Linked DNA regions of Diceros bicornis minor. The protein of the gene in region 1 interacts with the protein of each later gene in a pairwise test. Links are inferred from orthologs where the notes say so. Each region holds a gene or a part of one and is shown in the gene's direction. Other genes may lie near its edges. The genes, in order: FATE1, CCDC70, AGTRAP and KASH5.

Region 1 (7,671 bases):
GGAAGGAGAATTGTTTACAGGTTTGTAAGTTTCGTTAGCAAGTGGAGGGGAAGCTCCCAGATGCCTGGAAGATCTGGGTTTGCAGCCAAAATCAGGCTTGCTCGCTTGGGCTTGGGACTGTAGCTGCCTGAGACTGGGCTCTGAGCAGAGCTTGGGGGCAGCAGACCATCGCACTCATTGGCTTTGAATGGCCTCTTCCATAGAACCCCAATATAAGAAAGCGATAAAAGCGGAACTGCTCTGGGTGAAGAGAAGCTGGAGTCTGCCCTGAAGCCCAGGTAGCCCCAGTGTACCTCCCTGAAACCATGAAACAGTTTGAAACTGGGTTTTAGCTCAATCTTCCACGTGAAGATGAGAAACTGAAGCTCAGGGCAGGGGAAGCAACTTGCGTAAGATGTCCCAGTGTCAGGGCTAGGAGTCACTCCCAGGTGTACTGACCCTGGGCCTGGGTTCCTGCCACCTCCCACTGCTGCTTGCAAGAGAGGTGGGAGCAGGTCACAGACAGGACTGTCAAACCGTAAGCTGGTCGGGAATTTGAGTCGAGTCCACAGCTGGCTGAACAGCTGGAAGAAGCCAGTGGTTTGAAGGCCTTGGTGGAGGCAGGTAGTTGGACAGGGAGAGAGACGGACAGACACAAGACAACAGCAGACAGTCAGACAGGCAGGCAACAGCCCAAGTTGGACACCTACTCTGTGGGAAGCTGGAGGCCCTCTAGATTTCAGCCCAAACTTGGGTGCAATTAACTAGGTTTGTTTGGTCCCCAGTTGAGGCTGTGTGCTCACAATCAACTTTAGGGAAAAAGATGATATGTTTTCTTTGGAGATGCTTATCTCGAAGGGAGGGAGAGCTGTCTTCCCCATCTCTTTCTGTTAATAAAACAGCTCTTATTTTAATAAATATCCAAGCCCTCCAGCAGACAGTTCACAGGAAAGAAATACAGAAGATCAATAAACGTGAAAAATTGCTCAAGTTTATTTGTAATTAAAGCAATATAAATTAAAGCAACAATGAGAGAGAGATCATTTTTCACCCAGCATAATGATGCCTTTTAGAAAGTTTCATAATATCTTCCATTGATAAAGCTGTGAAGAGATCAGCACTTTCTTCCCTTTGATGAAGTCCCACTTGGCACAGCCTCTTTAGAGGGGACATTGACAATGTCTGTCAATATTGGTCAAAATTGCCAACATACATATCCTAGAACCCCACATTTCCACTTTTAGGCACCTGCTGGACAAAAACATTTACACATGTATGCAGAGAGGCCTGTCCAGGAATGCTCACTGCTACATTGTTTATAAAAGCGAAAAGCTCTAGACACCCAAAATATCCATGAGCAGGTCCATAAACAAGGGTGCAGCTGTGCAGCAAAATACTGTGCTGTGTTTAAAAGACATGAGGTAGATTTGTTCTGACATAGCAGATCCCCAAGGCACACTGTTCACCTAAAAAAGTAAGTTGCAGAACAGCATGTACCTCAAATGTACGATCTCATTTGTGTAACACACTGCAAACATATACACACACATCTTAGCCCAATGTTCTCTGGACTCCTTCTTCCCCTTCCTAGAGGCATGTCTAACCTCCTGGGTGGGAAGCACTTCAGGCTCCCTTGTCCTCTTCTCTGGGAGCCTTCCACTTGGGTCTAGGTCTTTGCAGCCCACCACTTTCACTTGGCCATGGGCCCCCATAATGCTTGGCAGATCTTTCTGTGTCCAGGGTTCTCCAGCCCTTCCGGCCCCCGAAGTTGGCATGCCAGACAGTGGGCCCTTTTTGAAGAGTTTGAGGAGAGACTTTGGGGCAATTTCAGAAGGAAATTATAATATTGGAGGGAAAAGGTTAGCATGCTAGAGAGACATGCTAAGGGACAAGTTCAAAGTCACACAGCAAATTCTCTCTCCCACCACCCAGCCATCCTTGGTGCCCAATCCAAGAGAAACAGGCATGCTAAGGTGGTGAAATGCCCGAGTTTCTGGCTAGCATTGGGGGCATAGGGATTGGGAAGGAAGTCACCCTCTTTGCTTGACTTTAGGTGGTGGGTTCCTTTGCCAGTAGAGGGCAGTGCCTCTGCGTGTACCTGGGCCCAGTGTCCCAGTGCCCAGGAAGCCCCAACTAGTCAAGGACAGTTGGCAGTCAGTGGAGAATCTGATCTGAGATCAATAATGGAAGGTCTTGCCAGCTCTACTACCTTGAGTGCTCTCACAATTCAGCCACGATTTAGGGAGGGGATTGTTAACTCCATCGTCCAATGGGGAGACTGAGGCCCAAAGGAAGGAAAGACTTGCTCAAGGTCAAATCTTGAGATCATGGCAAGGATGGACAGGGCACAGGGTTGCCAGATAAAATACAGGACACCCAGTTAAATGTGAATGTCAGATAAACCATGAATAATTTTTTAGTGTAAGTATGTCCCAAATGTTGCACAGAGCACACTTACACTAAAATATTATTTGCTGTTTACTTGAAATTCAAATTCAATTGGTGTCCTGTGTTTTTATTTGCTCAATCTGGCAACACTAGCCTGGCAGAAAGCAATGGCTCCTGCTTCCCAGGCTCCTAACTGCCACAGAGCACACTTCTCTGCTCCTAAGGTGGCGCTCCGGAAAGCTCGGGTTTCATCGCAGCAGCTGTTGCACTGGAGCTGGGAAGGGCTTCTTTGGGGCCCTCAGGAATGCAGGCCGGGCCTATGTCAGCTCTGCTCTGAAGAGCTTGGTCCAAGTGCTGGACAGGTGGGGCCAAGGTGGGAGACAGGCAGCCCAGACCATACCACCCTCTCTAAGCAAGTCCTGGCCCCTCCCTTTCCTCTCCATCACTCTTTCCTTCCTTTCTTCCTCTTTCCCTCCCCTCTTCCTCCTCCTCCCCCTATCTTGTCCCAGCTGTGCTTGGTTCCTTTTAGAAATAGCCTCCTCTACCCCCAGGGGCTCTCGGGCTGTTCCCAAGAGCTGAGGGGTCACCTTTGGTGGTTCTATCAGTGAGGGATCTCCAGAGAAACAGAACCAATAGGATGTATGTATGTATGTATATGCATATGTATGTATGTATGTATATGCATATGCATGTACATGTACATATGTGTATGTATATAGAGATTTATTTTAAGGAATTGGCTCATGCCATTGTGGGGTTAGCAAGGCCAAAATTTTCAGTGCAGGCCAGCAGGCTGGAATCTTAGGCAAGAGTTGATGCTGCAGTCTTGACCAGAATTTCTTCTTCTTTGGCAAACCTCAGTCTTTGCTCTGAGGGCCTTCCAACTGATTAGATGAGGCCCATGCACATTGTCAAGAGTTAATAATGGCCTTTACTTAAAGTCAACTGATTGTAGGTGTTAACCACAGCTACAAAATACCTTCACAGCAATACCTAGATTAGTGTTTGATGGAATAACTGGGGTCTGTAGGCTGGCCAAGTGAACACATAAACCTGACCCTCACAGTGGCCTAATCAGTAGGGAAGCTGAGGAGGAATTTGGACTTAGACCAGGGGGTGTAGGGCCTGGGGACGCTGGGGGCTCCAGTGGCTGCATGCAGGTCTTTTCTTTCCTACCCCTCTCTCCTTTGGTTCTCATGGTTCCTGCTCAGGCTTACCAAAGGCATCAAAAGCCCATCTCCCCTTCCTGGGAACTCTGGATTTGGGGAGGCAGGCTCTGCAGAGGATGCCTTCTGAAGGGCGCTATGGCTGGGATTGGTAGCTAGGGCTCGGCTTGCAGAAGCCATGACAGGCTTCAGATCTAACCCTGCTTTGACCACTGACTGACTCTGGGGTCCTGCACCAGTCCCTGCATCTCTCTAGAAATGATGGAGGCTGGACCCCACTTGCTCCACAATGGGGCAAAATCAGGTGACCTGAAAGCCAGGGTAGTTCTCACAGGCAAAGTTTCTGAACCTTATCTCTTCTCCTAAGTTGCTTACAGAGTAGCAGGGAGAAGGCCTCGAAACCAGCCAACAAGATACAGCAGGAACAGAAGGTGCTGGGTCCAAGGCCTGAGCCCAAAGAGGGAGTCTGGCTCCACCCCCATGTCCAGATATATCTTCCTTGATCTCCTACCCCTCAAAGAGCTGATTTTCCAAGTGCCTCCTCTGTGCCCTTCTCCCTGTGCATCCTTGGCCATAGCTTATAAGTGAACAACTGGTTGTGATGGCAGGAGGCCCCCCTAGCATCAAGGAGGAGATGGAAATGTCTATGGCCGAAGAACTGGCTCCTGGAAGCCGTGGGCAAGGCCAAGAGCACCTGGTGATAGCAGGTGAGGTTCCTCTGAAATGTTCCTTCCCTTGGGTGTCTACACCTGTGCGTGTGTGTTGGAGAATGTGCATGTGTGGCCGGGCAGACGCTCATATATATGCATGTACGTATTTGCATGTATGTGTGGGTATGTGTGCATGTCTGTGCCTTGGTGTGCATATGCATGTATTTGTGCCTTGAATGACAGGGGAGCTAGGGGGAAAGGGATTGATGATGTGAGCATTTTGCACCCCTGAGGGAGTAGGATGGGACCAACGTGTGTGGTCCCTTGGTCTCCCCGTCGTCTAAGCCACCACTATGTCTATTGCAGAACATTAGGAGGGCTTAATTTATAAGATCAATCGGATCAATTCTCTCTCCTAACTCTCCGGTGCCTTCTGCCATTTAGAGTGAAATCCAAACTCCTTACCACGATCTACAGGATCCTATCAAGGTCACTCAACATATTTCATGCTGTGGCATGGTGCCCCACTCCATACTGCAGTTATGTTTGTCCTTGTGACACCCCAACACTGGTTCTTCCTCACAGCCTTTGTGCTTGCTGTTCCTTCTGCCTGGATGCTCTTTCCCTAGATTTTCCATGGATGGGCTCTGTTTCTCTTTCACATCTCTGCCTCAATGTTGTTTCCAACTTTTCTAGACGTAGCCCCTTCCTTCCGTCATCTTGCCCTATTTTTATCATTTTAGAAGCATATATCTCTTGATCTGAATCTACACTGATGGATTAGTTTCTGTTTTGCCCCCTCACTCCTCCTATACACACACACAATCAGTTCCTTGATTTCTGCAATGCTGTCTCTTAGTCATTGCTCTTTCTCCAGTAACCTAGCTCGGAGTTTTGCCCTCAGCAAATACTTGCTAAACTTTTAAACAGATGAACAAACTGAGGCCTGGGGTTGACCAGTGGACAGCAGTGAATGAGTGTTGAATGATTCCTAAGAAGTTTGGGGACCCTATCCTTTCTGGTATGTGCTGTGCCAAGGAAGCCTTGGTACAGCCTCTATGGGTGTTCTGGGGGCTTCTGTTATTTTTCCTAGAAATAATGGAGTGTGGGTCCCGGTCCCTGGGTACCTCTCAGCGGCAACAGAAGTTGGGTCCAAAGGCTGCTGGCTCTGCTACAGGCCAATTGGTTTGGAATATGACTGCCACCCAGCCCAAGAAAGGGGTACTGTATGGGGCCCTTGGCACATGGTGACTGGGTTGGTGTTGGGAGTACTGGCTGTAGGGGCTCCACTCTGACGATGGTAGGTTGAGCAGGGCCAGATGTTAACTTGGGGGGCGGAGGAAGCTTCTGTATACCAGGTAGGTAAACGAGGGCAGGGAGGTCCAGCGAGAAGTCAGGGCCATCATTTGACAGGCTGGGAGTTCAACCTTGGGAGTCCAGAATGCCTGAAGCACGTATTGCTTGGGGAGTACATATATGTACTTTACTCTGTAAAACTCTAGTGTGTGTGAAATGACACTTTCTATTAAAAATATATATATTTCTCTACATATATATCTATATTTTATATATATTTCTACATATATATAAATATAAATATATATAAGTGTATATATATATATCTCAGGGTTGGGACAAGGGTAAGGCGAGTGAGGTTCCTGTGCTCCCTGGCTGTTAGGAAATCCAATCAATTGAACCTGGCCTTTTTGTAGCCAATCCTGTAAGCTGCATTCAATGTGAGTTAGGGAATGTTCTAAAAAAAATGGCAGCTATACTGTTGCAAAGGATCCTGGGAAAAGGCAGCCATTTTGGAGAGGAGGGATACCTGACTGTTCTAGGGATTCACCTGAGTCCTGTTATTCTGTAGCCAATCCTTTAAACTACATTCACTGTGGGTGAGGGAAAGTTTTAGAAACATGGTTATTACACTGTTGCAGAGGTTACTGGGGAAGGCAACATGGTTGGGGAGGAGGGAGACCTGAATGTTCTAGGGAATAGGTTACTGTAAATGCTGAAATGATTCCACCCCCAAAGAGAAAAAGAGCTCCCAGGTCAGAGACCTCCTGGGAATTAAAATGAACCAGAAATATTGAATCAGCTTCCTGTGTCCAAAGACTGAAGCCAAATCAAGTTGCTTTAGCAAGTCAGGCTCCAGCAAGCCACCCATGCTCCTGAGACTGAGGTGGCAGGCGGTGGTGGTGGTATAATCTCTGGATTAATTAAAGTTACCTATTAAGACCAGAGGAGTACACTTTTAAAAAATAGAGTCGTTATATTAAATTTAGAAATTAAATTTAGAAATTTAGAATTAAGAAAATTATCAATTCTATTTATTTATTCATTATTTATTTTTGAGTAAAAAAATTCATGGAACTGTTATTGCCTCTGAGAGAACCACAACATGAAAGAACAAAAAAAATAATAATATTATTATGCTGATTTGAGTAAAAAAAAGTAGTGTGCCTTAAAAAGTACATGAAAATGAAAATAACACTTTTGAAGTAATTAACTGAGAGAAGCTGGAATTTGCTGCAGTTCATAGATTTTCCTAATCTCCATCAAATTTGCATAAAAGTCTTCTGTTCTACAATGTATATAATTATAAATAGAGGGTTTCTAAAATTAAAAACAAAAAAGTAACAAGACAACTGTTTTTGAACAGTTAAACCTGTCTTATGATGTGTGACCACAGTAAGTTATCATTGACTTGCAGATGTTGTTAAATTAATTCTTATCATATTGATGTGCTAAAAACAAACTATGTTATCACAAACAAACTCCAGCTGCCAGTCACTCTTCTTTATTTTGCCTTCAAACCTCTCAAAAAACTTTTTGTCCTTCAGATCTCAATCTACCTAAATCAAGGGGATGGTGTGGAAATTGTTCTAGGAGAGACTCTTGATCGACTCCCCCTTTATAGTCTTGGGGTCTTCTTGACACCCACTGTCCATTTAATGCAACTTTTTTTTTACAACTGCCATGGAAGCCAGAGCTTTATTTATTTTATTTTTTGCTGAGGAAGATTCACCCTGAGCTAACACCCACTGTCAATCTTCCTCTTTTTGTATGTGAGCCGCCACCACAGCATGGCCACTGACAGATGAGTGGTGTAGGTCCATGCCTGGGAACCGAACCTGGGCCGTGTAAATGGAGCATGCCAATCTTAACCACTAAGCCACCTGGGCTGGCCTCTTTTAATCCTGTTTTTGAGGTGTATTAAGAAGAAGAAGAGGAAAATAAAAGAGTATGATTGTGAACTACTGTTCACACAAAAAATGTCACACCCATATCTGTGTGCACTTTGGAGAAAGATCCATTTTGCATTATTACAACAAATGGAGCATGGTGGCAAGGCTGCAGATCTTTCTCAGGTGACAGATGAGCCTTGGTTTTCTATTTCTTTTTAAGATTGAGGCAAATACAAGAGCCAACCTAGAACTCTGAGCTGTGGTGAGGCCTGTCAGATGGCACGTTCTACTTCAGCAGGG
Region 2 (6,073 bases), on another chromosome or scaffold:
TTTGGTTCTCTTCTCCTCATCATGGATGCAGACAGGCTCTGTGTCTTTGTGAGGAGCAGCCCCAAAAGGAAGCCCACTAATAGCAACAACTGGTGCTAGACCTGCAGGAAGTGTGCGGCCCAAAGAGATCCTGGAAATAATGGCTTGGGATAAACCAGACAGTGTGAAATGTAGAATTGGGTGAGAGATGGCATCTGTGGCCAAAAGGAAAAAGGGATTTATTAAACGGTTTCAGCGAGTTCTCTAGTTAGTGCAAACACTGCTCATGGAGTAAGAAATATAGCTTTAGTATAAGTGGGAAGATGGTCACTTTTGGTCTTGGGATATGTCCAGTGGACAGAACCTGCACAAACTTTTCCTTTGCAAATTCAGGACAGACAGGTCTCACACATGAAAACGGACTTTTGTAAATCTTATTTTGCTTGTTGAAAAATAGAGTTATTGGGGCCAGCCCCGTGGCATAGTGGTTAAGCTTGGCGCGCTGTGCTTTGGTGGCCCAGGTTCACGGGGTCCAGTCCCAGGGCAGACCTACACCACTCATCATTTTGTATGTGGGGACCCACATACAAAAAAAGTAGAGGAAGATTGGCAGGGAGTTAGATCAGGGAGAATCTTCTCCAGCAAAAAAAAAAAAAAAAAGAATTATTTTCTTTAGTGATAACATTCAGTGTTTTTTAATTTGCTTTTTAGTGTGAGCGTCTATATATTTACCTTCGGCAGTAGGGTTGTACGAGGAGAGAATGTTTTATTTAAAATTAGTGACCAAGTTGCTAAATGCATTGTTATCGGTAGGTCCAGTGCTTGATACAAATGCACACACACACACCCCTTCATAGTGAAAATATCAGCCTGATAGTGTTTACAATGTGCTTGACCACATAATGCACTTATAAACATGACCTTTGGCTTCCAGCGGAATATTGACTCACCTACTTAACTGTTTCAACAGGTTTTTAACTTATTTAAGCCTTGGTTTTCTCAGTTATAATATGGAATTAATCAAGATACCTATCTTAGTGTGGTTGAAAGGATTAAACAGATAACGCAGGTTAAATGCCCAGCAGAAAAGTGCTGAATAAATGTACAGGTAGCAATTGTTATTACTGATCTCATTGTTGGAAAATTGATTGTTTTTGACAGCTATCTTGCAACTCTAGTTGACCCTGAGTCTTTCCTCATGAAGAGTTACCTAATCCAATTCCACAAACGCTTGTTGAAGGCCTGCTATGTGTTCTCATGGCAGAAAGAAAGAAACGTGGGGACTTCAATAATGAGGCCCTTTCTCTCACCTCAAGATAGTAGCAGTTGCTGGGCCAGCCCCGTGGCTTAGCGGTTAAGTGCGCACGCTCCGCTGCTGGCAGCCCGGGTTCGGATCCCAGGCGCGCACCGACTCACTGCTTCTCCGGCCATGCTGAGGCTGCGTCCCACATGCAGCAACTAGAAGGACGTGCAGCTATGACATACAACTATCTACTGGGGCTTTGGGGAAAAAAATAAATAAATAAAATTATTTAAAAAGATAGTAGCAGTTGCAAAAATAGTAGGAATAAGACAAATAACCATAATACAACATAGAATATGACAGTTTCAAATTTCAATGAAATTCAGTTCCATTCAACCAACAATTTTATCAATTACCTCCTATATGCACAGCAATTAGTCCACAACTAATTTCTATCAAGCATGACAAGTAACCAAGGGAGGGTAGAGACAATTAGCATCGAGGAGGTGGTGATGAACCTTGCCTGGAGGGTCTGAGTAGCTTTCAGAGAGGAAGGGATGAACAGGAATTCAAGCCCACAATGGGAGGAAAAGGTAATCTCAGTAGAGGACACAGCGTATGCCTTGGCATAGAGACAGGAAACTGCAAGTGGTGTCCAGAGAACTGAATGTAGCTCATTATTACTGAAACTTAGCTTTGGAGTTGAGTGGAGACTGAAGGGGAAAGTAAAGGGAGAGACAAGCAGGAGTTGGGTTGCAGAGGGCCTCACTAAGGTGTTTGGATTTGATCTTTGGGCTATGAGGTCTTTGAAGGTTTGTGAGCAGGTGTGATGTGACGAGACAGTGTTTTAGAAACACCCCTGGGGCTACAATGTAGGGGCAGATGGGAGGGTAAGATCAATACCAGAGAGACCAGTTAGGCTGCTACAGGCATCTTAGCCTGAACTGGCTGTGGTCAAGGAGATGGAGCAGGGGGCATGGTTTCAAGAAATATTAAAGATCTTAAATGGGAGAGCTTGATGATTGATTAAAAGTCTGATGAGAGAGAGGAAGAAGTAAAGGATGAGCCCCAGCTTTCTGGTTTGTGTGACTGGGTGGATGATGATGTCACCAGCTGCCCACAGCGTAGCCACCACCTCTTCACCATGCACACACTCTGTGTCCTTCCTTCTCCCCCACTTCTTGCTCCCAAGCCACACAGTGGAAAAAGAAGGAGAAAGCCTGGAAATCTCCTGAAGAGCTCATGTTGCTCCACAGTCTGGTGGTTGGCAAGGCCCATTGAGTGAGGCCAGACCCTGGCAGCTGCTTCCAGAACACTCAGAATCGAAATCAATGCCCTTACCATGTGTGTGTACCCCTTGTCTTCCCTGCACTCTAACCACCTTCCCATATCCATCCCGTCTTCTCATCCCTTGAGCCACCATTGTAGTTACTGAAATTTTTGTGGTTAGTTCTGATATCTGATACCTCAGCTATACGGCAATGTTTGAAGACCTCTCTTTCTCTTTCTCTCTTGTCTTTTCCTTCCACTTTTCCTTCCTTCCTTTCTTCCTTCCTTCCTTCTTTCATTCCTTCCTTCCTTCGTTCGTTCCTTCCTCCCTCCCTCCTTTCCTTCCTTCTTTGTTTTTTCTTCTTTCTTTCTTCCTTTCTCCCTAGCTTTTATGTTACTGTGAAATATAATGCATTTACTGGAGTACATAAAATATACGTGTATAGCTTAGCATATTTTTATAATGAACACACATGTAACCACCTCCCAAGTAAAGAAATAGAATCCTGCTAGCCCCTCAGAAGACCCTCTCATATCCTCACCTAATCACAACCACTAGTATCTCACCTCCCCATCACGTTCCCCACACAAGTAACCACTATCTTGACTTATGAGACTCACTTCTTTACTTCTCTTTTTTTTGTGTTATCACCTAAGTATATTTTTCTAAACAATAGAGTTTAGTTTTGCCTGTTTGGGAAATTTATTCTTTGAAGTTCTTTGATCCTGCTTCTTTCTTTCGACGTTACGTTTATAAAATTCACCCACATTGTTGCACATCGCAATGCTATCTATTGCTTGAGTATACCACCATTTTTTAATTCCATTCTATTCTGATGGTCATTGGATCATTTGCAGAGGGATCATTTGCAGTGTTGAGCTCTTCTGAACAGAGCTCCTTGACGATCCTTGTACATGTATCCTGGTCACAATTCATGAGTTGCCTCAGGGTACATATCTGGAAGCGGAGCTGCTGGGTTGTAAAGTGTCTTCACTATTGTTCAATATTACTCGATATTGCGTGAGAGTTCCTCTTTTCCACACCCTTGCCAACATTTGGCGTTGTCTGTCACCTTCTTATTTTAAACCTCTGTTCCCAAAATAGACTCTTCTACTGCAACAGTCTCCCCTAGCTCAGTGGCTCTCACTCTCTGTTTCCCAGATGGGTTATAATAGAGGACAGTCACATGTGTGGGCACCCTGCTGTCAGCATGTCCATAAGAAAGTTATAAGCAATTCCCCAAGTGAGAATGCCAAAGTTTAAATGGAATCTGGTTGGGCCAGCTCCATGGCTTAGCGGTTAAGTGCGTGCGCTCCACTGCTGGCAGCCCGGGTTCGGATCCTGGGCGCGCACTGACGCACCGCTTCTCTGGCCACGCTGAGGCCGCGTCCCACATACAGCAACTAGAAGGATGTGCAACTATGACATACAACTATCTAGTGGGGCTTTGGGGGGAAAATAAATAAATAAATAAAATTAAAAAAAAATACTTTAAATGGAATCTGGTTGATTTAACAAAGTAAATCTTTTGGGGGCTGTGGTACTTTCTTATTTAAAAGCAAAACAGAATTGTTTGTGACACACCCCTTAAGTGATCGTGTCACACTCATGTGTTTTGATACCCTAGTTGAGATCCACTGTCCTTGTTGGCTGAGATTCTATGATTTAACAGGCTTGAGCTTGAATGTATTGACTGCCTCTTCAGCCCAAAACCACGACCACCTAGCATGTTTCTCTACCAAAGCTTGTTCTTCACACACACCACCAACGAGACAAAGAGAACGGTGGTTAAACTTTCCCAAATCCAATGGTACAGACCCAAGAGCTTGTCCTCTGGCGTATGATACTCATGAACATGTTCTTTCTGGTGTCCCCACAGGGTTTGACCAGCTGACCTGGACCTGGCCAAGGGCCCTGTGCTCCATCATGGCCACCCCACCATTCTGGCTGACTAGGAAGATGTTTTCCTTCAAGGTAAGCAAATGGATGGGGCTCATTTGCTTCCGGTCACCAGCCATCTTTTCGCCCAACATTCGCCAGAAGAAACTAATCCACAAGCTTCAGGAAGAAAAGGCTTTTAGGGAAGAGATGAAAATTTTCCGTGAGAAAATAGAAGACTTCAGGGAAGAGATGTGGAATTTCCAGGACAAAATCCATGCTTTCCGGAGCCAGATCTTGGGCTTTTGGGAAGAGGAGAGACCTTTCTGGGAAGACGAGAAAACCTTCTGGAAAGAGGAAAAAGCCTTCTGGGAAATGGAAAAATCTTTCCGGGAAGAAGAGAAAACCTTTTGGAAAAAGTATCGCACTTTTTGGAAGGAGGATAAGGCCTTCTGGAAAGAGGACAATGCCTTATGGGAAAGAGACCGGAAACTTCTTCAGGAAGACAAGGCCCTGTGGGAGGAAGAAAAGGCCCTGTGGGTAGAGGAAAGAGCTCTTCTTGATGAGGAGAAGGGCCTGTGGGAGGACAAAAAGTCCCTCTGGGAGGAAGAGAATGCCCTCTGGGAGGAGGAGAAAGCATTCTGGGTAGAAGGTGGGGGCTATATTGCTGAGGAGCAGATACCTGAAGACAGGCACTACAACATCAATGGAGAGCCACGATCGCCAGCCTTCTTCCGAGGCAGGGCATGAGCCCAGGAGATGAAGGGCCATGGGGTCCAGACTCTGTTGGATTGGAATTCAAGTCCAGGGTGACCTCATGTGCTGGAGAAAATATGCACTTATTTGTCTCTTTGCTTCAAAAGATCTAATAAAGTCCTGAGGAGAGGTTTGGAAAGCCTCTTCTTCAAGGAAGGCCAGATACATTTTTCCCAGGCTTTGTGATTCTCCAAGGTCGTATTCCCATCCTCCAGGCTGTATTTCTATCTGTAGATCTTGGTCTCAGGCAGTTCACCATAAGCCTGGCATGTTTAGGTGTTTTTGAATAGAGACTGTGGCTCTCCTTAAAAGAGTCAGAACGGAGTAGAAGAGAGGCTCAGACAATGCCAGCTAGAGACACATCGGGATAGAGAAGTGCTGAGACCTCTCTGCCTCTGTCACACTGTGGGGCAATCATTTCTGCTCCACTCTAGGCAGTCTTGGAGGCCTAGAGTGGGCTGACGCTTTCTGCAGTGAAAAGGCTACCGTGCTGTTAACAATTCTTCCTGACCTGCTAGGCCATTTAGAACACACAGGCAGAATCCCCTAATGGTCCACTTGCCTGTAGTTCCGGTTTCTAGGAAACTTCTCAAGTGCCCATTCTCTGTAGCAAGAGAAAGGGGCATGGCATTAGGCTGAAGCTCCAGAGCTCGGCCCACAAAAGCACTGCCTTTCCCTGGTGATGGAGTCAAAGTGGATCATGTAGGACGATCTGCGAGGTGTAAGGGAGTCTTCCCTGCCCCGTATATTCCCATTCACACAGCTCTCACTGTGCCCACGTTTCTGCATTATCAATTCCTTCCTTTGAGTTTCCTTCCTTCCATTCATTTAAAATTAAAATGCCCCAGGGAGGTAATACATCAAATGAATGTACACTAATGTGGTCAGCAACTTACATGCCCAACTTTTATTCTGGGATTAGATAGCCTATACGGGCATTGGTATGG
Region 3 (7,826 bases), on another chromosome or scaffold:
GTGCCATGAGGACAAATATTTGAGAATCAGCCCCCCTTCCTCTGACTAGTCACAAAAACAAACGTCCCCTCTGGAGAGGGGGCTCTCACCCCTCCCACAATGTCCAGGCTCCTCCAGAAAACCCAGGAAGAGGGGAGTAGCAGAATCGCCCTCCACTCCCTCTAGGCCCGTGCTTCCCCAGGATCACGTCCCCTCCTGGCTCTGAGTGAACGGTGCTATGGACACGGCCGATTTTACTAAACGGGCATATAGCTTTGATACTTTCAGGATTTTGGCATCAACCAGAGGCCAGGCCAGAGGACAGGGATGAAGTCTGGGAGTCCAGGAGAGCCACCCCGACTCCAATCCTACAGGGTTCCATGGGGTTCCTTCACCTTCTCCACGCCCTTTCCTGCTGTCTTTGCTCACGGCAGCTGGTACTCAGCAAGAGAGAGAAGATCACATCTACAGATACAAAGAACAACCAACAGAACACCAGGGCTCTCAGCCCTCCAGACTCAGGCCAAGACACACAGCCCTGCGTGTCTGTGACAAGCTGAGCAGAAACACTGGGGAAAGGGCTCCAGACCGAATCCCAGCATTAATCCCTGTGCCACCAAGAGGCCACGGCTCTGCCTCCCAGGCCCTTCTCTGTCATACTTCTTGTGGAGGGCCGTGCTCTCTCACAGCCACAGGTGCCTTTCAGACAGTGTTTTGGTTATTTTCTCTGCCGTTTCCTCCGGTTTGATTTACCCACTCAGGAATGGAAGTGGCTGGACCACATCAGAATTGTGGGCTGTCCAGTACGCTGTGGCCCGAAGGACAGCTGGAAACCATTTCAAAGCCTTTCCCTATTCAGTGCCTCCTTCATGACTCACACAGCCCCAGAACTGATTGTCACTGTCCCCATTGTCTAGATGCAGAAAAAAATTCAGAGAGATTAAGTGCTAACCCAAGGCCACATGGTTACAAAGTGGCAGCGCTGGGGGTTGAGGTCGGGGAGGCGGCAGCACGCAGACATGCTGAGGTCCGTCTCCCCGGCTTTGCTAGTAGGAAAGGTGCATGGTGTCTTCTCTCTGTTTCGTCTGCTGCTCCAGTTCAACAGGCGTTTGTCATGGGCCAGGAGATGCTGAGAGATGCTAAAGGATGCTGCCTTCTTTCATAGGAGCAGGACAGCTATTTGCTCACTGAGCATTATGAAGTGCCAGGAGTTGTGCCAGGCATGCTGTGTAAATTATCCCACATGAGCCCCAGAAGCATCCTGAGGCTGGGCATGGCTAGATAACTTACCCCAGATCACTCTGCCGGGAGGAGGCAAGGCAGGGATGTAAAATATACCTTTATCTAAAGGACAGAAGCAACCATGAGAAAGCAATGGCTTCATCAGCCATTTGCATAATGGCTTCATAACCAAATGGCATTGACTGAATGGCTTCCAGGGCAGAGCCTGGACTACAGTGGCATCCTGAGGACAAGCAGAGTCGGGTGGCAGGTCCTCCAGGTGCCTGTGATGGGAGGAAGGGGCACACACATATTGTTCAGTTGGTCTACGTCAGTTCATTCCCTGAGCACCTGCTGTGCACCAGGCACGGGGCTGAGTGTTGAGGTCGCAAGACCCTCCCAGCGCTTGCAGTCTAGTTGCGGGGACAGACCATAAACAAGGAAACAAGTCAACTGATAGGGCAATAACATCAGATCTTGATAAGTGCTAAGAAGATGGTACAACCATCTTGGAAAACAGTTTGGCAATTTCATAAAAAGTTAAATATACACCTGCCACATGATCCAGCCATTCCACTCCCACATATTTACCCAAGTAGGTAACCATTCCCAATGAAAGAATGAATGAATGAATCTATTCCGCATGTCAGTTTCTTTGTTGAAGGTACAAAGATAAAACTTGTCTGTCCCTCATGGGTGAGGAACATGAAAAATTTAAACTTCACTTCCAAAAGTGTACTCACTGAAAACATGACCCCAAAGCCTTGTGGAGTGTGCTTTGTGGAGTCCATGTGTCCTTCCATAGTCAGGACTGGTCATGGCAGGAACTCTGGCTCCTTTGAGAACACGGATAGTTTCTCTTTCCTTTGTTCTTCTGGCCTCTCTCACCCCTCACCGCACCTCCTGCTGGGTCTGCCCCTCCCCCGTGTCTCTGGCCCCAGCTGGAGGGGATGAAGGCAGGGTCACTGTGTGAGCTGCAGGGACACTCCACACACCCAGCCCTGTGCTTCATTCAGCTCCAAGCTGTCTTCCCCTCCTTCCTCGCTCCATCCTTTGCATCTCAGGCTGCGTTTTCCTGCAATGTAGGCTTGGAGCTGAGTGGCTAAATGTCAGGGTCCCGGAGCCAGACCTCCTGGGTCCCCAGCCCACTTTCAACCCAACTAGTGGTATGCCTTTGGGGGAGCCTCTGAATTTCTCTTCACCTTAATCACCTCACTGTAAATCAAGATAAGACGAGGATCCACATCATGGGGTTTTTGTGAGCATCTATTATGAATGACTTTTCACACTGTCTGCCACAAAATAAGTACTTAATAAATGTCCCTGTAACCCCAGTTGTTTGTTTTGCATTTTCTCCTTACAAGGTAATCACAGTCTTATTACACAACTACAGACTGGAATTAAACACCTCAAGGATCTGGGGTGGATGGGGAACATTTCTTAGAAGGAATTGATAAATAGTAATATGATAATAATGTTATAATATCCACCACTTATGGAGGAATTACTCTTTTCTAGGTACTCTGCCAATAACAATAGTTAACTAATAATAAAAATAGTAGTCAATCCTGATTTAGTGCTTACTGTATACCAGGCACTGTTCTATGAGCTTTTCGTGTATGAACAAATCCTAACAACACTTCTAGGAAGATACTATTGCTATCCTCATGGTACAGATGAGAAAACTGAAGCACAGAGAGGGAAAGCGACTTGCCCAAGGTCACCCAGGACGCGGACAGAGCCAGGACTCAGATTCTTGCTGCTCTGATCTAGAGCTAGTCCTCTCTGCTCTATATCCCGAAAAACCAAACTTGATGTCGCCTCTTGGCCGGTCTCTAGAGCTCACCAGCTCTCAGTGCCAACGGCAGATGTTGCACTGCTCTGTCCCCTGGGCTGGAGGCCTGTGTCTCCAAACGGGCCATTCAATTAGGCGGGTGGGCCCTGCAACCCAGCAAAAGTCCCCTCACTCACCCAGAAAAATCCTTTCTCTGCTCCTGGAGAGCGCCCATTTGATACGCTGAGCATGTTGATGTGCTCTCAGGACCCAGCAGGCGGTCTGGCCTGTTTCCATGTGGTTTCTCCCCTCCTGGAAGGAAGAACAAGCACTCTGATGGACCCCGAGGGGACCCTCCCCCCAGGTGACTCTAAATGAAAGCTGATGTTCTCCAAATGAACGTTTTCTCTGGTTATGGGTGAAGGATGGGGTGGGGAGGAGGATGGAGGTAGTGGGAATTACAGTTCCTTTTTGGGGGTGGAGGGTAGTCAACAGTGTTTGAGAGACATCCCAGGTGAGACAGCCCTTTCCTTCCCCAATTCCCTCCATTCACAGCCGAGGGGCAGACAGTGCGTTGACAGAAGCTTTTTCTTCTCCAATCTTCCTTCTTCTGGACACAGTGTGTCCCATAGCTTTTCTGCTCATTCTTCAGCTAGATTTGTTCTAAAGCTTCTGGTATATTAACTCATGTGGGCTCCAACCAGTTGGTCCTTGCGTCTTGATAACGACAATATCTTATGTGTGTTCCCCACTTCCTGAGTGCCAGGCGCTGTTCTGGGCACTTCACCTTGACAAAGACTCTCTCCTTGACCCAACCTTAGTAGGCCCCTCTGAGCGCTCTTCTCCACTAGGCCTAAACCTTGGCCTTCTCTGACCCTCCTGTCCTTGCTGTGTATGCATAGCCCAGTTTTAGCAAGAATCTTGCTGAGTCAGCTTAGCGAGAATCCCCCTACTCTTGAGATCTGATCAAGCTCCTCATCCCCCAACTTGGATGTCTAAGCCCGGGGTCTGCCTTTAGCAAGAATCCTGTTAGGTCAGTTTAGCAAGAATTCCCCTTGCCTTGATGTCTCCTCTTAGCAATTGTCCATCCACTGACCCCTCACGCTGCCGCTCGGCTAGAAATCCCCACTTGTGCTTGCTGTCTCCCCGGAGCTGAACTTGACGTCTCTCCCGTCTTGTAAAATCCCAATTGCAATAGTCTTGAATAAAGTTTTCCTTACGTATTAACAAGTGTCAGAATGATTTTTTCTTTAACAGCGTGAATTAGTTCCTTTATCCTCACAAGGATCCTATGAGGTAGGTATTGTAAATGTCTCCACTCGAACACACGGAAGGAGAGAGGCCCTAAGGGATGAGACTTCAGCTGTTGCCGCATCCGCAGTTTGCACCTGGACATTCCCCTCAGATTTCCCGGACACAGCTGGTCCCATCAGTCCACCTGCTGAGATATTAACCTACCAAGATATTGCCCCGTTGCAACATAAATCCTGATGATTCTCCAAGCGCGCCCGGGAACTGCCTGGGCTGGAGAAAGGCGCCAGAAGCCCGACGCCGTCTCCTAGCAACCGGGCCTGGGTCACGTGATCCGCTTCACGTGGTCTGGAGCCAGACTGGGGTTAGAGCTGCCGCGGCGGGCGGGGCGGGGCCGGCAAGTTTCTTTCCCGAGTTCGGAGCCCAGGAGTCCCCGAGGCTGTGGCGCAGGTGCCCTCCGCCTTGGTCGGGATGGAGCTGCCCGCGGTGAACTTGAAGGTGGCGACGGGTGGGGCGGGGCGGGCGCGGGGCGGGTCTCCTGGCGTCTGTTGGGCGTTTGCTCTTTTAAAGAAGAATTTTAGAGGTGAGAGGACCGAGGGTTTGGGGAAGAGCGGTGGTAGGGAGATAGGAAATGTACAGACCCCAAGTGAGAAGGAGGCGGGCAGACAGACCATAACAGGGAGAGAGATCCAGGAAAAGGCCAGCTGGGAAGACCGAGAGGGAACTGGAGGCGGTAGGGGACCGAGAGGGCCGCGCCTTCCCAGGTCAGACCCCGCCAGCTGGGAGCGCCCGGCCCCTGAGGATCGCTTTGGCCTGTGCGCCCATAAGTCCCCTGGAGAAAGAGGAAGGCGCTGGGGGTGAAGCGTTGAGGGGGAGGCACTGAGAGCCGGAGGTGGGGCTTGGAGGCGGCCACCTCCCCTCCACGGAGAGAGAGGTCACCTGAACGCGCAGCACCGCCCCAGGAGCCTCCTTTGTTTGCTGAATCTGGTTAAGAAAATCAGATGTTCCCAGACAGGTGGTTTTCCAAAGTTTATAGATCTCGCGTCCTTATTTTCTAAGAAACACGAGCCCCATGGAAGTTACTTAAAAGCAGAAAACCCCAACTTTGTGCACTTGGGACGGCACCGCGGGGCTTCCTGAGATGTCTTCATTTCCTGAGCCGATTTCTCAGCTGTCAATATGCCAGAGGCTGTTCTTCTTTTTCTCCCCGGCCACCCCCAGCCGGCTGTGCCTCCCTGCTCTGTGTGGACAGAGGGACTGAGGCCTTGAGCTTTGGCCAAGAAGGTGTGAACCTTGGACCACAGCTGCCATTTTGGGTCTCAGTGCAGGCTCTTTCCAGACTATGTCCAGGAATGTCCTTTTACTCAGGAGTGACAAAGCATTTAGCACCCATGGTGTCAGGTGCGAAAGGAAACTAAGAGAGATGACTACAAAACAATGCATCATCCATATTTGGATGATTAGACGCTGGGCTGTGACTTCACGTGGCAGATTTCCTTAATCATACTGGCTCCGGCAAACCGCCCCGAAGCTTCCAGTCAACAGCTGGGTTGGACATTTAGCTGGGAAGAAATTTATGTGAGGGCAACTGAAGTTTGTTATTAATACTCACTGTGTTCCAGGCAGTGTGGGGTTAATGCGACTGCCGTTTCTCTCATTAGAGATTTGCCTAAAATAATTGCTAAGAGGGGGTCAGGTGAGGGACAGAGCTGCAGGAATTGAGAGGGCGGAGGGCTCTCACTCATGGGGCATCTGTGGTGTGCCAGGTTATTTATTTCATGACAACAGCTTTCTCAGAAAGCTGATATTGTCATCTTTTTAGAGATGAGCAGACTTCAGCTCAGATCAAGTCAGTAACTTGCCAAGGTCCCACAGGGATTGAGTGGCAGAGTCAGGATTTGAACCCACCAGGGTCAGACTTCCAAGCCGTGTCCTCTCCTGGCCACCAGTTAGTTGGGCTGACTTCTGCCTCCACAATTTATGTCCAGTGGGAGGGCTTAGTCTGTTTTGAGCCACTTGATGGGCCTTCACGGCCACAGGTGTGAGCTGTGCTGGCTTCCGGTGCCCAGGATAAAATGACTGGTCCTTCCCTTGACTTGGGAAACAAGACTCCATGTCTCCAAGGGTCTTAGCTGCTCCCAGTCAGAGACAAGTAAGTACTGGGAGGCCCTGAGGGGCTAGGGTTGCCAGGTAACATGCAGGACATCCCGTTGAATTTGAATTGCAGGTCAACAAGGAATAATTTTTAAGTATAAGTATATCGCAGGCAATATTTGAGACATACTAACAAATTATTCATTATCTGAAATTCCAAATAAACTGGGTGTTCTGTATTTTTGTTGTTGTTAAATCTGGCCACCCTAGGAGGGCAGCTGTTGCCTCCTTGCTCAGAGGCAGGTGAGTGGAATGTTCTGAGATCAAAGCCCCTCCGGAACTGGGGAAAGGCACCCTGTGGCCCTGGGCTCCCTCCCACTCCCTCATTTCATACATTTCTTGGGCATTGGCTGAATGCCTACTTGTGCCCAGCCCAGCCAGAGTGGGCAGTGGTGCCAAGTGAGAAGAAACAGCTGCCCCAGGCCCTTTGCACAAAGGGCAGTCCCTAACTGAGCCCCATCCATGAGCCAAGTCCTGAGCTGCAGGAATAACACTGTGACAAGCTTTGAAAGGACTAGCCTTGGGTTCATGAGGTCTGGTGAGAAAAGGCCCTTGGGAGGAGGGTCCAGGGGGTAATGGAGCATTAGAATTAAGAACTAGGGACACCAGCTTCATAATCGTAGTGATGAGGACGGCGCATCAGGGCTACCTACCTGGCAGGCACGCTGTCAAGTGTTGCATACCCCTGTGCACCTCCCTGTGCCGTCGGATCCACAGCGACCCTATGAAACAAGCACCATTGTCCCTACTTTACAGAAGAGCAGGCAGCATTCTGAGAGGTCAGGCGACTTGCCGAAGGTCACACAGCTTCTGCATCATGGAGCCAGGCTCAGATCCGTGTATTTGGCTCCAGTGCCCACGCAGTCAGCCACTGCCTGAATCTGCGTCCCCTCTATGGCATTCCTGACTGGTGTCCCTTAGCCTCTGCCACCCTCGGGGACCTCACTACCTCATGTAGCAGGTCACCGAGTGTTTGCACAGGACCGGTAGGAGTATATTCTGTGTGCTGATCTGTCTGTTAACCTTAGGTCTGTCCACACCTGTCTGGGAAGGGCCCCCCATCCCCCATGGGCCCTCAGGGCTGGACAAAGGGTCTAAGGCCTGGTCCACGTAACCCTTTGGTTTCCCCTCCTCCAGGTTAAACTTCCTCGTTCCCATCCACCCTCCCCTTGCTCTTCCAAATCCTCACAGTGTAGCACAGAGGGCAGAGCACGGGCCTTGGGGCCAGACAGACCTGCGTTCAAGGCCAGGCTTTGCTACTTATTAGCTGTGTGCCCTTGAGCAGGTTTCTTTGCCTCTCTGAGGATCAGTTTTCTCACTGTAAGAAGAGGCTAAAAATAGGCCCTGCCCTCTAGGGTGATAAGAGGAGGATCCAGTGGTCCAGGGGGCAGTGTGGCATTACATTTTTATTAGCGTAAAATCTCTGGCCAGACAGACTGAGTCTGAG
Region 4 (7,975 bases), on another chromosome or scaffold:
AAACGGTGGCATGGTCATACAGTGGAATATTATACAGCAGTGAAAAGAATGACCTACTGCTAAGGATAAATCTCATAAACATAATGTTGAGCGAAAGAAGCTGTAACCAAATGTGGTTACCTTTGGAGGGTAATAACTAGGAGGAGGTGTGAAGAAGGCTTCTGGGTTTTGGGCAATACTGTCTTTTTTTATACGGGTGGTTTCATTACTGTATTACTGTACTAACTGAGCTATAACTTAAGATTTAGCACCTTATGTTGCAACCATACTATAAAATTTTTTTTTTAATTTTTTCAGGTTTTACAAAATTACCCAGACCTCAAAAAAGGAAGGAAGGAACAAGAACTACTGCAGGAATAAACTAAAAGAATGAAATTATAGCAAAGCTAATGGAGACCACCACTTGAAAGCCTGTGCTAAGCAAACATTGGTAAACATTCTTACTGAACTCCCATAAGACCCCATGAAGTGGATATTATTTGTCCCCATTTTAGAGAAGCTAAGGTTCAGAGAGGTGAAGTCACTTGCCAAGGGCACACAGCAATGGCACTACCTTTGTCTGATTCCATATCTCACGCTTTTAACCGCTCACCACATCACCCACCAAACAGGTTCTTTCCCAGGCCTAATAACAAGCCACCATCTAATAGCCAAAATAATAACTGTCAATTAACAAGGATTACCACCTTAAGTCCTCAAGGTAACATAAGAAGCAATTATTATCTTCATTTCTGGGAGGAAAACTGAGGCTCAGAGAGCGTAAGCCATTGTGGCAAGGTTGCAGCTAGGAAGTGATGGAGGCAAAATTCAAACCCACAAATGTCTGACTCCAGGCCCACAGCCTTATCATCACTCTATACTGCCCAGTAGTTAAGAGACATGGATTCTGTCCATTCATTCACTCATTCATTCAGCTCATTTTTGTGTGTGCGCATGAGGAAGATCAGCCCTGAGCTAACATCCATGCCAATCCTCCTCTTTTTTTTGCTGAGGAAGACTGGTCCCGGGCTAGCATTGGTACCCATTCTCCTCCACTCTATATGGGATGCTGCCACAGCACGGCCTGACAAGTGGCGCTGGGTGCGCGCCCGGGATCCGAACCCGGTGCCCAGCAGCGGAGCGCCCGCACTTAACCCCCACGCAACGGGGCCGTCCCCCTCAGCTCATTTTTTGTGTGTCCGCACTGGACTAGGCATGTTCTAGCCCCAAAACAGTCTCCTGCTGCATATAGCTCACCTTGCAGTGAGGGTGACAGACAGTACACAAATACAGAGTGTCACATGGTGAGACGGGCCATGAGGACCACTAAAAAAACAGTTAAGTGGATACTAAGATGGAGGCCTAGTGTAGACACCGCGGCAGGGGAAGGTCTCTCTGAGGAAGTGACAGCTGAATAAATGATGGCTGGATGAACAAGAGGATGCAAAAGGATTCTTTTTCTGTATCTGGGCTAGCAGAGAGGCCGAGTGGGTGAGACATCTTTTGTCTCAAATCCCCCTTTTTGGGAGTCAATGTTAGATGTAATTCTCTTCCTCTCTCCAGCCAGAAAAGCTGAGAATATTTTTTCCCCACTCTCTCCTAAAAGGAATGAATGAAACGGTTTGGGAAAGAATCTTTCGGGGACCTGTTAATACATTGTGACTAGAGCCACAAAAGGGCGCGGGAGTGGTGAGGCAGCAAATCATTGTGACGGTGACGTGCAGCCTGGCACGGAACAGAGGGCAGAAAGGGCACGGCTTGGTGGCTGATAAGAAGGGAGGGATGGACAAGGAGTCCCTCAGTCCAACTCTCCCTTGCTTGGGCCCATTTCACCGAAATTTGAGGCCGCACAGAAGACCCCAGCGTAGACGTCGCCGTCACCCCTCCCTCCCAGCCATAATCTCTCCCGCAGTCACCCGTTCGGCCAACGCGCATGCGCCCGCCCCACCAGACTGGGAGCGCGCCCGGGCAGCCAGACGCATGCGCAGCCTCACTGTTGCAGGTAACCGACAAGACCGGCGCGCGCCTTCTGCCGGTGTGCGCCTGCGTCAGGGGAGGAACCCGGGGGGGCGGGGTTTGGGCGACACGCGAGCTCTCGGTCCCGCCCCGGCCCTCTTTGCTTTTTCTGGCGGGAACGGCGCACGCGCACCTGCTCTCCACGTAACTGCCGTTGTTTGTTCGTCGCTCTCGTTTGTGTCCCGAGACTGGGACGTGGCCTCAGGTGAGCCCTGGCCCTGGCTGCAGCGAGGTTCCCCAGAGAAGCTCTGTCAGAGCCCCGCCCGCAGTCCTGGCAAAGCCCCCAAGTCGTAGAGGAGAGTCCCCGATATCAGGGCCTTCCAAATCTAGCTAAAATTCTTCTTGAAATCCCGACCAAATACCCTCAGAAATACTGAAAGGAACCCATCAGGAAATCTTATAGATGACCCTGGAAATCTTCTCAGAATCTTCTAGAAGTTCTGTCAGACTTCTCCCTCAGAGCCTGTCAGAGACCCCCCTAAAATCCTATTAGACTCCCTCCCCAAATCCTATCAGAGACCCCAAAAGTTCTGTCAGAGAGCCCCAGAAATCTTCTCAAACCCACCAAAAATCCTGTCGGATTCCCCTCCCAAAAACCTATCAGAGACCTCGCAAATCCGGTTGGAGACACCCCCAGAAATCCAGAGGCCCCTCCCCCTAGAAATCCAGTCAGAGATCTGCCCAGGAATCCAGAGACGCCCCCCCCTAGAAATCCAGTCAGAGGTCTGCCCAGGAATCCAGAGACACCCCAGGAATCCAGTCAGAGATGCCCCAGAAATCCAGAGACCCCCCTAGAAATCCAGTCAGAGACCCCCCAGAGACCCCTCTAGAAACCCAGTCAGAGATCCCCAGAAATCCAGAGACCCCCTAGAAACCCAGTCAGAGATCCCCAGAGATCCCCCCCAGAAACCCAGTCAGAGATCCCCCAGGAATCCAGAGACTCCGCTAGAGACCCAGTCAGAGATCCCCCAGGAATCCAGAGACCCCCCCCAGAGACCCAGTCAGAGATCCCCGAGGAATCCAGAGACCCCCCCCAGAGACCCAGTCAGAGATCCCCCAGGAATCCAGAGACCCCCCCCAGAGACCCAGTCAGAGATCCCCGAGGAATCCAGAGACCCCCCCCCCAGAAACCCAGTCAGAGATCCCCAGAAATCCAGAGACCCCCCTAGAAACCCAGAGATCCCCAGGAATCCAGAGACACCCCTAGAAACCCAGTCAGAGATCCCCCAGGAATCCAGAGACCCCCCCCAGAAACCCAGTCAGAGATCCCCAGAAATCCAGAGATCTCCCTAGAAACCCAGTCAGAGATCCCTAGGAATCCAGAGACCCCCCCCATAGACCCAGGCAGAAATCCCCCAGGAATCCAGACACCCCCCCCTAGAAACCCAGAGATCCCCCAGGAATCCAGAGACCCCCCTAGAAACCCAGTCAGAGACAGCCCTCACCCCCAGAAACCCAGCTGGAGGCTCCCCGCAGAATCCCTGCCTAGGTCCTCCTGCTCAAGTCTCCCCGTCAGAGACCCCCAAGATCACCCAACAGCCCCTGCTCCCCCGCCAGGAGTCTGTCCCCGAACCCTGTCAGAAGCCCCCAGTGCAGGTCGGCAGCCTTGCAGGGCCCCTTCCCCACTGAGGCCCCACGGCCATCGCCCCCCTTATGCACTTTCTGGGCTCGTCCAAACCCTGGAAGGGTCTCTTTTCAAAGACCCCTTTTTCTAGGACGTTCTAAAAGCCACCAAGAAGTGCGCGCTCCACGGCCGTGGACCCCGTCTGGCGCCAGGGAGAGCAGGGAGTGGGGAGTGCTTGGTGAGGAAAGGGGGCTGAGCAGGTGGGGGGAGGACACACAGGTCCCGGGTGACCCTCTGTGACCATTTGCCCCAGTGTGCCCAGTTCAGCTTCGAGGGGCACCACTGTCCAGTGTGATTGTTAATAGCGCCCCTTTCACTCTTGCAAGTGTCCTGGAGGTGGGACGGCAAGTCGTGTGGTCAAGCTGATTATCACGGAGGCAGGACAGGGCGTTGTCAGGGCACAGAGGAGAGGGGCCCTAACTGCTCCAGGGACTCGGGGAAGGCTCCCAGGAGAGCTGTCACCAGGGCGGGGACCACTGGTGAGGATGGTGCGTGCGTGGCCTGGGCGGACCGTGGGAAGATGCTAAGCTCCCATGGCCGTGATGGGGGTGAGCAACCTGGAGATCGGCCAGTGGAGGGAAGAGTGACAAAAAGAGGCAAGGAGTTGCAGGAACCACTGTGTACCACGCCAGCCTGAGGGACTGGGACTTAGTCCTGGGGGCACTCGGGAGCCATGGGTGGGCTGGGAGCAGGGAAGGAGCGGGATCAAACTCCAGTGAAAGGCCAGCAGCTCCAAATACAGGCTGACCTGGCAAGAATGTCAGTAGCCCAGGGCGGTGGGGGAGCCCAGGGACAGCACCTTGTTCAGAAACATTGTCCCAGCAGAGGGGACATGTGAGCCGAGACAGGAAGGGCTGGTGAGGAGGGTGTCCGAGGCAGAGACCCAGAGGGGGGAACAGCCTTTGGGGAACAGCATGCAGTTGAGTCGCTGGAGCAGCAAGTGTGATTTGGAGTGGAGAGACAGGTGGGGCCAGGCCGTGCAGGGCCTTCAATGCCAGATCCAGGGTCTAGGCTCTGTCCCCCGGGTGCTGGGGAGCCGTAGAAGAACACTGAGCAAAGGAGGGACAGGTCAGCTCTGGGGCCCTGTGGGGATGGACTGGAGGGGGAGGGATGGAGGCCTGACCCAGAGCTGTAGAGAGGGAGAGGAGGGGACAGGGTAGAGTCACCCTGCGGGAGCAGGGCTGAGGGCTTAACAAGCTGTGGGGAGGAGGGGAGGCAAGTGACCCCCGCCCAGTAGCCCCCCTTTGATCTCCGCCGCCCGCTCCTCGGGCCCCCATTTTCCCAGCCCACACCTCCAATCCATAAAACAGGTCTGAGCGGGCGCTGCTCTGGTCGAGGCAGGGTGGGCGAACAGGTTCTGAGAACCCAGAGTGGCCCGGGGCACAGGAGGGGCAGCACGGTCCCCATCCTCGGGTGGCTGGTCTGAGGAGGCCGTTCTCTGTTTGTCCTTGCAGGAGCTCTCGGGGCCGCCGGTGCTTTGTCAGTCTGTCCCAGTGATGGAGGGAGGCTCTTAGCGTCGCCAGCGGCTGCAGAGCAGAGGCAGTGGCCCATGGACCTGCCAGAGAGCCGGGCGGGCAGCCCCGCCGCTGCAGAAAGTAGGTGGCTGGGCCCCTGTCTGTCCCATGGGAGGATAAGGAGGAAGTAGTGGGTGAAGAGGGCACCAGGCTGTGACGCGGGGACTTTGGAGAGGTGGCTTGGGCTGGCTGAGCCTCCCCCTTGGTGCAGGGTGGGAGACAGAGAGCTATCGTTGATTAAGTGCCTGCTATGTGCCCTCCGGTCTGGACACCTTGTCGCATTTGCTCTAGGGAGGCCAGAGCAGCAGCCTTTGCAGGCGCTGTCCCCCTGCCCCGGGGACCTGCGGGCTTCCCCCTCACTTCCTTCAGATCTCTGCTTTCTGTAAAGCAGCTGCCTGTCACGCTGTCTCCCCTTTCCTGCTTCACTTCTCTTCGTAGCACCGACATCTGTTTGTCTGTCCGTCTAGTCTCTGTCTCCCCCACTGGAGCATGAGGTCCACAAGGCAGGGTCATTTTAGTCACTCTGGTATCCCCGTCCCTAGAGCAGCGTGTCCAACAGGCGAGCCATGTATGTCATTTTACATTTTGTTAGGAGCCACATTTAAAAGAAACAGGCAAAATGAGTGGCAATAATAGATTTTATTTAACTTAATATGTCCCAAATCATCTCCTTTCTGCTTATCATCAGTATAAAAATATGTTGGAGAGATTCTCTTTTTTTTCATACTAAGTCTTCATGATCTGGTGCGTACTTTACACGAACAGAGCATCTCAGTTCACACTCACCACAGATCAAGTGCTCAAGCAGCACCTGTGGCGAGGAGCTGCCCTCCCTGTTGGTTACGCTGCCCCAGAACGATGCCTGACACGGAATAGGAGCTCAGTTACTGTCCTTGAGTGATTGGAAGGACGCAGACCCTCTGGGTGTGACAGCCGGCTTCATGAGGAAGACGCTGGGTGGCGCTCTCTGAAATTCATCTAAGTGGGAGAGCCCCATGTGATGGGGGAGGAGGCTCCCACCCCAGGGCAGCAGCAGGGTCCCTTTCTTAGAGGCTCCCAGCATCCAGCAGCAGAGCCTGTGTCTTTCCTCAAGGCCTCAGGAGGCTTTCCAGGTGGGAAGGCGGAAGGTAGACACCTCGGTGAAGGAACCTGAGGGCAGGCTGATGGAGTAACCGACATCTAAACTTCGCCGCCACCAGCAGAGGGCGTGCGGCCACCGAGGAACCCGCGGGAAAGGGCTGAGCCAGCTTCGGGAGGCTCCTGAAGGAAAGGGAGGGACACACCCAGGAGAGATGGAGACAGAGGAAGGCAGGTGGGGAGAGAGCCAGAAAGGCAGCAGAGGAAAGAGAGAGAAGGTTCGGGGAATGGAGAGTCACTGAGATATGGGAAGAGAAGCACAGAGACGGAGACGCAGGGAAGAAAACGGGGCAAAGGACAGGGAGACCAAGAGGCGGGGCTTAGGGGAGAGAGAGATGGGAAGGAAGATGTATAGAAAGAGCCCGAGAGAAAAGTAGAAAAGGGCAGGGACAGAGACACACAGAGTGAGGTAGAGACACTGAGGAAGAAAGTACAGGAAAGAGAACAGGAGAGAAGCAGAGTGACATCCTCCTGAGGGCCCTGGGAAGGGACTGTAGACACGTGCGGATCCTCAGGGCCCCTGAGATGTGGAGCCAGACAGTGCTGGGTTGACTCCACCTGGCTCTCCTTGGCTGAGCGGCTCTGGGCGAGTGACCTTGCTGGACCTGTGACCTCACTGGGCCTCAGGGTCCTCCTCCGTAACGTGGGGAGCACAGTGAGAGGAGGAAACGAGAGTGCCCGTAAAGCTCCGGGCATGGGCCCTGGTGTCTCCCCTGATGTGGGTTCCTGCTCCCCTTCCCTAGGAACGTGGGCTCAAACCCAAGGGGACTGAATGTTAGCTCACTACGAAGAACCGTTGAAGAGTTAGAGGGCTGAGAAAGGGCACTCGTGTGGAACAGGTGACCCTGGGCAAGTTCCTAACTTCTCTGTGCCTGGGTATCCTCATCTGTAAAGTGGGGCGAATAATAGCAGCCACCATGGTCCGTGCAAAACACTTAGAAGAGGCATGGCACCTATTAAATGCCGAATACGTGTTCCATTCTATTATTGAGCTTCCACCACGTACCAGTCTCTCTGCCCAGGCCTTTCCAGATTGTCTCTCATTTCTTCTCTTGGAAGGAGGTGAGACCAACCCCATTTTCCAGACGAAGAAACAGGCTCGGAGAGGCTGAGTCCCTTGCCTGGGTTGCTTCCCGGGTCTGCTAGACTCTGCAGCCCGTGCTCAGCCCGCTGCTATACCCAGCTGTCCAAAGGCAGGGCGGGGAGTCTCGAGGGTCACTTCCAACCCTGGGGAAGAGGCTGGGCTGTCTCAGTGGCTCCTAGAGTAGAGGATCTCCTCCTATATCTTGGCGCATTTATTGAGTGCCTACTATATGCAGGCGCTGTGGACCCAGCAGTGGACAGAGCCGGGACATTCACATTGTGTGTATGTGTGGGCTCTTCACGTGCATAGACCTAACCCTCCCAGCCTTGGGGAGGGGCAGCACTCTACCTGCGCATTGTACCCGTGGGGAAGCTGAGGCTCCAAAAGGAGAAGCAGTTTGCCCACAGTCATGCAGCTGGGCTCCGAGCCCTTGTCAGCCTGACTGTGACGCTCCAGCTCCTAACCACTCCCCCACCGCCCACCCTGCCTAGATCACCCCATCTCCCCGGCTGTGGGCTCTGACGACGCCAGCCTCCCCTGGAGGATCCAGGGAGGCCAGAGACCTGGCCTCCCGGGGGATGGGAGACCGGAGATGCGGCCGGCGCATCGATCCAGGCTGCC

What was found.
Region 2: the proteins of FATE1 (region 1) and CCDC70 interact in binary tests that used the Homo sapiens proteins (3 or more experiments, as listed by UniProt). The two-hybrid records come from large-scale screens. The link is inferred for Diceros bicornis minor from reciprocal best matches to the Homo sapiens genes FATE1 and CCDC70.
Region 3: the proteins of FATE1 (region 1) and AGTRAP interact in binary tests that used the Homo sapiens proteins (3 or more experiments, as listed by UniProt). The two-hybrid records come from large-scale screens. The link is inferred for Diceros bicornis minor from reciprocal best matches to the Homo sapiens genes FATE1 and AGTRAP.
Region 4: the proteins of FATE1 (region 1) and KASH5 interact in binary tests that used the Homo sapiens proteins (3 or more experiments, as listed by UniProt). The two-hybrid records come from large-scale screens. The link is inferred for Diceros bicornis minor from reciprocal best matches to the Homo sapiens genes FATE1 and KASH5.

Annotation. Positions count from the first base shown.
Region 1 is NC_080781.1:136,029,667-136,037,337, forward strand, and holds the start of FATE1 (fetal and adult testis-expressed transcript protein), read left to right. Parts: upstream 1-4,134; coding exon 4,135-4,240; intron 4,241-5,276; coding exon 5,277-5,404; intron 5,405-7,671. UniProt on the Homo sapiens protein: Involved in the regulation of endoplasmic reticulum (ER)-mitochondria coupling. Negatively regulates the ER-mitochondria distance and Ca(2+) transfer from ER to mitochondria possibly implicating it in the regulation of apoptosis.
Region 2 is NC_080748.1:25,477,417-25,483,489, reverse strand, and holds CCDC70 (coiled-coil domain-containing protein 70), read left to right. Parts: upstream 1-4,418; coding exon 4,419-5,120; downstream 5,121-6,073.
Region 3 is NC_080752.1:30,869,317-30,877,142, forward strand, and holds the start of AGTRAP (type-1 angiotensin II receptor-associated protein), read left to right. Parts: upstream 1-4,632; 5' UTR 4,633-4,696; coding exon 4,697-4,723; exon of another isoform or gene 4,724-5,021; intron 5,022-7,826. UniProt on the Homo sapiens protein: Appears to be a negative regulator of type-1 angiotensin II receptor-mediated signaling by regulating receptor internalization as well as mechanism of receptor desensitization such as phosphorylation.
Region 4 is NC_080773.1:24,834,000-24,841,974, forward strand, and holds the start of KASH5 (protein KASH5), read left to right. Parts: upstream 1-4,519; 5' UTR 4,520-4,533; coding exon 4,534-4,687; intron 4,688-5,073; coding exon 5,074-5,214; intron 5,215-5,824; exon of another isoform or gene 5,825-6,057; intron 6,058-7,975. UniProt on the Homo sapiens protein: As a component of the LINC (LInker of Nucleoskeleton and Cytoskeleton) complex, involved in the connection between the nuclear lamina and the cytoskeleton.